Linked DNA regions of Arabidopsis thaliana. The protein of the gene in region 1 interacts with the protein of each later gene in a pairwise test. Each region holds a gene or a part of one and is shown in the gene's direction. Other genes may lie near its edges.

The links. Proteins that work in one complex are often made in the same cells at the same time.
Region 2: the proteins of AT4G38790 (region 1) and AT3G26110 interact in a protein complementation assay, tested with the Arabidopsis thaliana proteins (one large-scale study listed by BioGRID).

What each region holds. Positions count from the first base shown.
Region 1 is NC_003075.7:18,108,787-18,115,057, forward strand, and holds AT4G38790 (ER lumen protein retaining receptor family protein), read left to right. Parts: upstream 1-2,549; 5' UTR 2,550-2,639; coding exon 2,640-2,865; intron 2,866-3,230; coding exon 3,231-3,430; intron 3,431-3,507; coding exon 3,508-3,648; intron 3,649-3,726; coding exon 3,727-3,807; intron 3,808-3,934; coding exon 3,935-4,059; intron 4,060-4,142; coding exon 4,143-4,191; 3' UTR 4,192-4,420; downstream 4,421-6,271. Other genes in the region: AT4G38780 (pre-mRNA-processing-splicing factor-like protein), read right to left, coding at 1-368, 464-956, 1,057-1,447, 1,540-1,632, 1,715-1,838, 2,047-2,243; AT4G38781 (uncharacterized protein), read right to left, coding at 2,255-2,407; MTN1 (methylthioadenosine nucleosidase 1), read right to left, coding at 4,569-4,766, 4,859-4,951, 5,023-5,097, 5,201-5,275, 5,518-5,624, 5,784-5,875, 5,959-6,022, 6,111-6,210.
Region 2 is NC_003074.8:9,538,916-9,543,910, forward strand, and holds AT3G26110 (Anther-specific protein agp1-like protein), read left to right. Parts: upstream 1-2,567; 5' UTR 2,568-2,657; coding exon 2,658-3,044; 3' UTR 3,045-3,249; downstream 3,250-4,995. Other genes in the region: AT3G26100 (Regulator of chromosome condensation (RCC1) family protein), read left to right, coding at 1-297, 510-894, 992-1,234; AT3G26115 (Pyridoxal-5'-phosphate-dependent enzyme family protein), read left to right, coding at 3,386-3,460, 3,610-3,918, 4,006-4,048, 4,128-4,457, 4,571-4,700, 4,809-4,979.

The sequences.
Region 1 (6,271 bases):
CTACAAGTTTTGTCAGCCGGAGGATCTCACGGCAGAGATGGAAAGCATTTCCAAAACGCGACTTCTTTCGTTCCTTGGTTGTCAGAGTTTTCACAGGCTTGAGGTTGAAGTTATAATCAAGGTGCAGGTAGTTCAAATTCTTCCTGTGAATCAACAGGTTCAGCATATTATACCCCTGCCGGCAGACTTGCAGACCCACTTCAACCCAATCCAGTTCGGTGCTCTGAAAAAACTTTGTAGCTGCAAGAGATCGAAACAAATGCTTCTTCTTCTGAGCCTTAGGGGGTCTATGGTGCAGCTCATTCAGTAGATAACATTTCAAAAGCTTCTGGTAACTAACCCGAACTTTGACAGGATATGCTGGAGGACTGCAGAAAATGAGATAACTAAGAAGTTAATACAATGTCTAGTAAATTTCAAAAGGGGAAAGAGAACCACAGTAGCATCAGAAAAATTAGCTTACCAGTGCTCCTTAAACCACTCTGCAACAAGGGGTATATCTTCAGCCCGCCGAGTCCTCCCAGACCTCATATTGAAAGGCCGAGGGGCAAACAACAATGAAATGCCAGGAGCTGTAGTGTCAGTGTAGAGTGGCGAGTTATTTAGCAAAGGTTCCAGTCCTTCTGGTAACACAAAGTCATCCCCATCATCATCATAACCATTACTTTTGCGCTGTTCTTTATTAGTGTTATTAGAGTTACTTATGGGGTGAATTAATGGATCATAATAAAAGGCAGGAAGGTCAGGATCCTCAGTCTTTATGTACATAACCATAGGAGTGTGATAGACACAGAGTTTTACTTTCCTGGGCCTATTATTGTACAGATGTGGGAAAGCTACTTTGTACTCAGTTCGCAGAGGGGATCGAATTATAAGCTTGTTGATGTCATTAAATTCATTCCAGTCTTCATCTCCTTTCTCCATATCACGATGCAAAGGCTCAAACTTAGGACCGCCTGAAAAAGAGTACCAAATTGAATCAGGGAAAGAGAACAGAAGGACAACAACTGTGAAAACGAAGATATCAGAACAGGAGAACATAGAGTATAGCGTTACCTGGTATGCACATGTTCAGTGCCTTTGCAGTAAAGAATGATGGCATGTCAAACAAGTAGAAGTAGTTGCGATCAACCAAATCAGACAACAACTGGGCTGCAAGCCTGTGAAGGGTTGACATAATTGGAAGTGAGAGATTCCACGTCTGGTAACTTGGACCATTGATCATTTTTGTTTTTACAAGTGGCTTGTGGTCGTAAAACCAAGAGTACACAGCAGAATCTTCTTCTTCATCTAGCTCCAACTGAATTGCCTCTAGAGGATCAACGTCCAACAGGTTATCAGCATAGTCTAGAGGGGGCTCCTCATCATCAAATGGTGGAAACCGCATTCTCTTGAAATGACGACGATCCCTCTTCTCCCTTCTCATCATTATCCACATAGAACCCCACTGCAAACGAAAGAATCATCACTAGAAAACATGTCTCACAAATTCACAAATGCACAGACACAAAAGAAGAGAGAGGGAGATTATTCACCCACCTGAGCCATGTAAATAGGTTCCACAACCCATCGTACTTCGTTCACAAATGTAATAGCTCCAGTGATGTGGTACAAGACCTTCACGTCCCGGACCTGGAAAATATCTGAGTTCAAAATTTTGAGCAGAGCAGGAGAACAACTAAAGCGAGATATAGATCACTAAGTGAATAATTACCTGTTCCCAGGGCATAGGCATATTCTCCAGGAGCTTGAAAACTGCGTGAGGAACGAACTTAAGTGCTCCAAGATATACACGTTTATCAAGTCGATGTTTCTTTGATGACATATCACCATGATCCCTGAATCAAAACGCAGAGTCAGTTTCAATCTAACTTAACCCAAACCTAATAATACAAAGAAATTGGACCAGATTCGTTTCCCAGTCAACTGGATTTCGAAATCGAAATTGAAAAATTAGAAACTCGCCTGATGATTTTCCTAACGTGCTCAGGTGGCATGTCCTCCTTCTGAGTTTCCACGAACCCAAACTTCCTCTTGTCGCCGTACCGTTTGGAATTTAGCTGCATCCATGTTCTCGCCTTCTTCTCAAGCTTCGCCTCTGCATCCTCGGGAGTAGGAACCGTCGGAGTATTCCGATTAGAAGGCGCCGTGTAAGAAGGATGATCAGCGGGATGTGAAGGTGTCTGCATCCTCGAACCGTCGGTACCAGGAGGAGCTAAGGACGTACCATCAATGTTCCACATAGCTTCAGATTTCAAATCCAAAGGCCCAGCAAAATCGCCGAGGAGCAAAACCCTAAAACCTCAGTGCGAGCCTTGACGAACACGAAAATCCCTAAAATCACCGTCGTCGGGTGAGGTTGGTAAGAAAGACGATTAACCGAACGAACATATATATACGAAGGCATTCATGGGCCTTTTAGAAAAACAATAGATACGATTATGGGCCTAATTTATGGATTCAGTCACGGCTCATTTAGTATTTAAGAGTAAGAGATGTGTGGAAGGGGTGATTTGGTAATTTACATTCAAGTCAACCAAAACCAGACTTTTTAATCTCTCTCGATCAGAAGTTACCTTTTTCACTTTTGCCGAGAAAATCAGAGACAGAAGAAGAAGAAAAGCGAAAAAAAGCAAAACATGAAGGCGACGACGAAGACTCCGATCCACGTGGTGTGGTCATGGGTTAGGAGACAACCTCCGAAGGTGAAGGCTTTTCTCGCCGTGGTCACTGGCATGGCGGCTTTGGTTCTTCTCAGATTCATTGTTCACGATCACGACAATCTCTTCGTTGCCGCTGAGGCTGTTCATTCCATCGGGATCTGTGTGCTCATCTACAAACTCATGAAGGAGAAGACCTGTGCCGGTACTATTCTATGTGTCTTGTCTTTATCACATCCATTTTTAGGGTTTTTCAACTCAGTCCTGCCTTATCAGCTTCTGATCGTATGTATTCCTCTGTTCTTAGCAAAATTACTTTTCAACGTCACAACTTTTTTGTTTTTCCTCATAATCGCGTCCAAATTTTCGAGCTTTGATCAGGATTTCATTGGTTTACCACTATTATCTGCTCCCGGAAGCAGCCTTTAGCCGTAATTCGTAGAATCATCATCTTTATAATCAAGGATTCAATTGGCAATTTAGGGTTTAAGATGCATTCTATGGTTCTTTTTTTAAATCGAAAGTGTTTACCTTCGATGTGTTTATATAACTTTGTGAATGATTTTGCAGGATTGTCACTGAAATCTCAGGAGCTTACGGCGATATTTTTAGCTGTTAGGCTGTATTGTAGCATTGTAATGGAATATGATATACATACCATTCTTGACTTGGCTACTTTGGGAACAACTCTCTGGGTTATATTTATGATTCGTTTCAAGTTAAGAGCTAGTTACATGGAGGACAAAGACAACTTTCCTCTCTATTATGTGGTAAGTCAATCTGGTTTTGATCCTCGAGTTGTTTGTTATCATTTACAGTGACAATGATCTGATTTCAATTTTTGCAGCTTGCGCCCTGTGTTGCATTAGCTGTGTTCATCCATCCATCGACCTCTCATAACATAATAAACAGAATTTCATGGGCTTTATGTGTATACCTTGAAGCTGTTTCAGTACTACCTCAGCTACGAGTGATGCAGAACACAAAGGTCACTACTTTATTTCACAATGTCAAGTAGAGAACTACATTTGTTTTACTCTCTAATCCGCGTCTATTTGGTTTTCAGATTGTTGAACCGTTCACGGCTCATTATGTTTTTGCACTTGGAGTAGCAAGGTTCCTCAGCTGTGCCCACTGGGTTTTACAGGTTAGTTTTGATCTTCAAGAGTGGATAGAGGTTATACCAATAGTGGTGATTCCTATACTCGATTGGATTAGTACCTTAAAAGTCGATTTTGAATAGCTGAATACATTGTCTAATGTGCTGAAAATAGGTTGTGGACACGCGGGGACGGTTGCTTGTAGCATTGGGTTATGGATTGTGGCCATCAATGGTTCTGATCTCAGAAATTGTTCAAACTTTCATCTTGGCAGATTTCTGTTACTACTACGTCAAAAGGTACGCATTAGTCCTTCACTTCAACAGTTTAGCTATTTAGCTCTTTGTATATATCTCAAAAGTTTCAACATTTTTCTTTACAGCGTTTTCGGAGGCCAGCTTGTTCTCCGGCTACCGTCTGGAGTAGTATAAGTTCAAAAGATAGAAATACCCCAACGATGTCCTGCGATGAGCTTGACGGAAATTCTAATTGGGAAAGATAGCTCAATTTTTCTTTACCTCTGATTTCATCGTTTATGTGTCTTGAGGTTTCACCAAGTGTCTCGGTTACGAATTAATTTTACAGTGTTGTATATTTTGCCTATCAAGGGATTTAACGTCTTTCAGGTCGATAAGTTATCTTTGAAATTGTTTCTTTACCAAAATTTAAGCAACACTAGGGAGAGAACGTCTTATAACTTGAAATTTATTAACGAGAAATATGATCACTGGAAATCAGTGAAACTGCAACAAGCACGTTGAACGCATTTTAAAAAATCACTCTCCATAAAAAAGGAAGAGAACAGAAGTTAAAGGTCCGAAAGGTTTCTCCCATTGATGAAGTTGATCACTTTAGTAGCAGTTCCCTCTAATGCAGCGGTCACAACTGTCAAGTTCTGCAAGAACTCTTCTGCTGTAGGTTTATCTCCGTCCACTAGATCGGTCACGGCTTTGAGGAACACGACTGGTATTTTCAGAAGATCAGCCACATACGCCACGGCAGCACCCTGAAGAATCCAGAGCCAAAAGAGTTTCAAAACAACAGTTTCATTGATTTTCTGGTTAGATTCAGTAATAAGAATTGTTAACATTACACTACCTCCATGTCCTTTAGCGTAGCATCATTGGCAATGATCAATGTTTCATCTTGCGTGGACATATCCAACGAGTCACCAGTAGATAACCTGCCAATCTGAACCACCCCAATTTTGTCAAAATTGAAATAGTTAAAAGAGTAAGTAGCATCTTGAGTCTATTAAATACCTTCAAATTGAGTTCCTTGAGGAGATTGGGTGTCGAGAATGCCTGACGGAGACCAACTCCATACAGATCAAACATCTAGAGAGATAAACAAACATTGCTCAGGAACTTGCAAGATGAACTGGCAAAAAGGGAATCATCACTAAAGATGGAAAAAAGAAAGAAAGGAAGATGAACCTACCGGAATTGGTATTCTTCTATCATGAAACACAACATCAGATACAAGGAATACATCGCCTATGTTGGCTCCTTTGACCTGCAAATGTTCAGCCAATCAGCACTTTCATTACATGAAAATAAACCAACTTTCACAACATAAAAATAGAGATATGGAGAGAGAGAGAGATCTTTTATGATGCAACTCAAATCTCAGAGTTGAGTAAACGAGCAGTAACAAAATCAAACCCAAACCACAAGTAAAGAAAGAAGAGAGGACGTGGTTCTTAGCAAGGATGCTGGAAGTCAAGACAGAGCACACGAGAAGTAAAAGAACTGTACCTTGAAGCCACCGCAGGTTCCGGCATTGATTATGATGTCAGGTTTTAATGCTTGGATGGAAGCAAAAGTTATGAGAGAAGCTGGAACAGTTCCAACACTATCGATCCCTGGAGAGAAATCTCAGTTAGTAGCATAAAAAAAGTGCATTCATTTTCCCTCATACCAAACAATGCAGCGACTTGAGAAACCAAAGCTACTATACTAAAATGCTGAGAGATTCACAGGCTAATTATCATATCTTTGAGAGCATTGAGTGCAAAGCTTACCTAAAGCTGCATCTCTTCCGGGGCAAACTACATTGATTCGAAGATCTTTATGCACGCCGTGATACAGAACCCAGGGCAATCCTTTACCAAGCCTGCAAAAAAGTAAACTTTGAAGTGAGAGATTCATGGAGATCAAATCCAAACAAGCAAAATCGAAAAAAGGAGAGCTCTTAACGGCGAATCAGTAGTTTCAGAGAGTCCGAACTTGTTGACCAAAGGAAGAGCCTCCGCTTGCATAGCTGCAGCTCCGTCAGAAACACACAAAAAGTAAGTAAGAAGACGAAGAAGAAATCGATCGAATCGGAAACTTCATAAATCATAAAGTACCGATGACGAAGACGACTGAGGAGATCGGTCGAAGAATCTCCGATTGAGCATCGACCTCAGGTTCTTCGATGTCACTTAATCCATCTCCATGAGGAGCCATAACCTTATCCCTCTCTTCCGATTCTCGGCGATGCGTTTGATTCCCAGGAAAAATCCGAGAA
Region 2 (4,995 bases), on another chromosome or scaffold:
GGAAGCTGAATACGGAGGGCAAGGGACTAAACCAGTTACAACTCCTCAGCTTGTAACATCTTTAAAAAACATATTTGTAGTGCAAGCAGCTATTGGGAATTACTTTACCGCTGTTCTCTCCCGAGAAGGAAAGGTTTATACATTCTCGTGGGGCAATGACGGTAGACTAGGACACCAAACTGAGGCTGCGGATGTCGAGCCTCGTCCTTTGTTAGGCCCACTCGAGAATGTACCCGTTGTGCAGATTGCTGCTGGTTATTGCTACCTTCTTGCCTTAGCCTGTCAACCAAATGGCATGTGAGTTCCTTTTTTACACTTTCTTTTCTACTTTAGACCAGTTCAACAATATTATAGGTTACAACAAATGTAGTCATATTTGTATGGTTAAACTCTTTTGACAAAAATAATTTGGATCCTAAATTTTTTGCTATGTTTCTATGGGTCATGTGCAATAGAACACTATGCAAATGTCCAACAGCAGCACTGACTCTGTAGCATGCTTATTTTAGGTCTGTTTACTCAGTTGGTTGCGGTTTGGGAGGCAAACTTGGTCATGGGTCAAGAACAGATGAGAAGTATCCTCGGGTCATCGAGCAGTTTCAGATATTGAATCTTCAACCTAGGGTAGTTGCAGCGGGTGCTTGGCATGCCGCGGTGGTAGGTCAGGATGGAAGAGTGTGCACTTGGGGTTGGGGAAGATATGGATGTTTAGGTCACGGTAACGAGGAGTGTGAATCAGTCCCTAAGGTTGTTGAAGGTCTAAGCCATGTCAAAGCAGTTCATGTCGCAACAGGAGACTACACTACTTTTGTGGTCTCAGACGATGGTGATGTTTACTCGTTTGGCTGCGGCGAATCCGCTAGTCTCGGTCACCATCCATCCTTTGATGAACAGGTTAGTGATTGGCCATGGCCTCCATTGTTTCTTTTGCTTACATTATATGTTCTAAACTTATGTTTAGTCGTATGTCTGGTTTGATTTTTTGTTGCAGGGTAATCGACATGCAAACGTGCTAAGTCCAACGGTAGTAACATCGCTAAAACAAGTGAACGAGCGGATGGTCCAGATAAGTCTAACGAACTCCATATACTGGAACGCTCATACATTTGCGCTCACGGAATCGGGGAAGCTATTCGCGTTTGGTGCAGGCGATCAGGGTCAGCTTGGAACAGAGCTTGGTAAGAACCAAAAAGAAAGGTGTGTACCGGAAAAAGTGGATATCGATCTCAGCTAGCTAGCTGACTTATGTGGTTTGGTTGGTAAGAAACTACGTTTGACATCAAGGAAACAAAAACGCAAGAAAATTTGCGTTTGCTTTTTATGTTCATAAGACTTGGAAGCTTGTACAAAAAGGGGAATAACATAAACTTGTCTTTAACATTTCATTGTATAGGGTTTTTAGATTATTCTAATTGTTCATTGGTTAAGTTTTAGGTTATGTTGTTAATAATTATCAAATAATTTCATTAAATCAAATTATTGTCAGATTCAATTTCTACCAAATTTTTATTTTATTTTCTGTTTTCATATTTGTTGGGTTTACATCTATATATACATTTTTGCAGCCATTTTGTGATTTACATTTATATATACATCAATAAATCATGGAGTTGGAACTTATTTACAATGGTTACCACTGGCTTATTCAATGCGAAAATTAACTATCAAATAAAAGCAAATCTTATTCAAAAGAATATGCTCTTATTCCATGGCCTAGTTATTTTTGCCAAAATGGTTAAAATATTTAAAAATTAAATAATTATTTGAAAGAAAACTTTAAATTGATTTAAATTATAAATCTTTTAATAAAAATATTAATAAAAAAATAAAATAAAATAATTTCACCGAACATGATTAGATAGTAGGACTAGATGGTATGACATGTTTATAATATTATAATATATAAACTTTATAACAATTAAATAAATATTTGAAAGAAAACTTCTAAATTGATTTGAATTAAATATTTTTTAAATTAAAGTATTATTAAAACAAAAATAACAAAATAATGTCTAATTTTACTGAACAGGGTTAGTGGTAGGACGGGTTTGGTCGATAGTATTACGAGACGGTATACCACAAGTGAAATCCATTAGATATGTTTAATTTCATTGTGCATGATTAGATGGTATGACGGGTTTTGATCGATAATAATACGAAACGATATACTACGGATGAAATCCTAGATATGACAATTAAAATCTATATATATATTATCTTAAACACTAAATAAAGCAAACAATATTAATAAAACAAATATCTACATATACATTTTATATAACAAATTTTATTAAAAACCTAGCCCCGCGGTATACCGCGGGTCAAAATCTAGTTAGAGTACTAATATTCTATCGAAGAAAAATCTAAAATCCTATTTCTCAAATTGTTTTTGCTATATTTGATAAGATTAGAATTTAGAAAAAGCTTAATTAGGAGTAGAAGATAATATGTAATTTGCAATTTTTTCCTCAACCTTTAATATTTTTGGCAAAACCTCAAATTGCGTTGAGTCATCTTAGCACTTTGATCAAACAACTATATAAGCAAAGACCCTCATTACACAATTCAAGATAAATAAATAAAACAAAATACCCATAAAACATTTTTCAAAAAAAAAAAGTTTTTTGGGGATTACTAAATAACTAAATTAAAAAATAATGGCGCGTCTTCACCTAGCTCTCCTCCTCCTCTTCGTCGCTATCTCCGCCGTGATCGTATCAGCTGCTGAGAACGAAAAACCACCGTCAACCACCACCGCCTCAGCTCCCACCGCTACAACTCCAACCGATGGCATTGGAGGTGATATAGCAGAGGGTCCAGCTGATGACAATGCTATTGGAACAACTGACAACGACGATGCAGCTGTTACTCCCGATGATGCCAATGGAGATGATGAAGTGGCAGTCGCCGGACCTATTGGAAGCGATGCTTCGTACGCTAACTATCCTCCACCACAAAAAGAAGCTTCCGGAAGCGATGCCACCGTAGCTTTTGGCTTTGTCTCTGTTGTTGGTGCAGTTGCTGGATCGCTCTTCTTTTTCTAGAGTTGTGATCGGCGCGCGAACTTATTACTATTGTAATAAAAATGTTTGTAATATTTTCTTGTTTTAGATGTATTTTGACGATCCCTTCTTCGATGTAACATTGATTATATTGGGATGATACATATTTAATATACTAATATAAAGAAAGTTTTTTATTTGTGGGGTTAATATATTTCTGCATCTCATAAATTTACAAAAATAGCCCACAATATATGGGCCGTATTTTCTCACAGGGCCTAGCCCATCAACGTGTGAGTAAGCGCGTGTTTTTCACGTCTAAAAACCTCCATATCTTCTCCGCTAGCTCCGGAATAGAAGAAATTTTGCAGAGAGAAGCGTCAATGAAGGTCCAACGGTCAACTTTTTTGGCGGTGACCGGAAAATCAAATCTTCATCACTTTCACTCGTCTTCTCAGGTTCTCTTTTCTCTTCTCTGCGTCATCTAAATCAATTAAAAATCGTTCCTTTTGTCACTTCTAAGAATACCCATTTGCAATTGCAGAAAAAAATCTGAACTTTTTCTGATTTCATTGCGTTTTGGGGATAATGTCTTAATCAATTTCAGAGAATTCCCATTACTTCCGAGATCGATTCACGAGAGTTTGTGTCTAAATTACTCGATAGAAAATGGGGATTACAGTGTCCTGCATCTCCAATTCAGCAGATTAGTGTTTCTTCTGTCAAAGGAATCGATAAATTCTCCTTCTTGAACAACACTCGTCCACATCTCGGAGATGAAATGTCGAAGTCGAAGCAAGGATCTTCTTTTTACATTCTTAGAGATGATCTTTTACATCCTCTTGTGAATGGTAACAAAGCTAGAAAGCTTGATGCTTTGTTACCACTTGTTGAAGATCATAAAGTGACTGATTTGGTGAGAATGTGATCACTTATAATATCTCTCAACTGGGTTTTTTTTTGGAAATGGCTTAAAGTTTAGAAGTTTTTTTCTTGTGTGTAGGTTACATGTGGAGGTTGTCAAAGTGCACATACAGCTGCTGTTGGTAAAAGTTTGAATCTTTAGAGAAGAAATGGTATTGACTTTTGATTGCAATTTGAATCAGTTATTTGTATATCTTGCAGCTGTTTCTTGTGCTGAGAGAGGTCTAAGATCACATTTGCTACTGCGTGGAGAACAGCCTGATGTTTTGACTGGTTATAACCTTGTTTCAACTATGTATGGAAATGTTCAGTATGTTCCAAGATCGAGGTATGCGAATAGAGAGGAAATGCTAAGAACTTATGCGGATCTTGTTGCTGGGGAAGATGGTACTGTCTTATGGGCTAAAGACATTGTTGAGGGACGTGACACTATGAATGTTGCAAAAATGGATGATTTTTCGAGTATGAAAACTTCTCGTAGAAAGGTTTTGATCGTTAATGAAGGCGCAGGAGATGCTCTTGCATTACTTGGTAAAGATTGATTTTTGATATCTAGTTTAGGTAGTGGACCAGATCAATGTGGAAGAATTGACCAAGATTATTGTTTATGCATTATAGTTAACAAGGACTTTGTTATTCCGCAGGTATGTTTCGGTTAGTGCAGCATTTGTCACAGGATCATTTACTCGGGAAGAAGAGGCCGGTTAAATTTGTAGTGGATGCTGGTACTGGAACAACTGCTGTGGGTTTAGGAGTTGCAGCTATGTCTTTAGGGTTAGGCTCTGCTCACAAGATTTACCAATACTCTTTGTGTATGCATTTTATCTCATTGCCGAGTCTTGAAGCATCTTGGTTACCAGCTTACTTATACATTCTTCTCAGGCTTCCATGGGAAATCAATGCTGTGATGCTAGCTGATACACTCAAAAATTACAAGAGACATGAAGATCACTTGATAGCAGAATTTTCGAGGCAGTTTCCTGGCTCAGTCTTCTGCAGCGGCTTGGATATGAATCAAATGATCAAATGGATAGATCGTCAACACCCGAGAAAGTACGTGCATATGCAA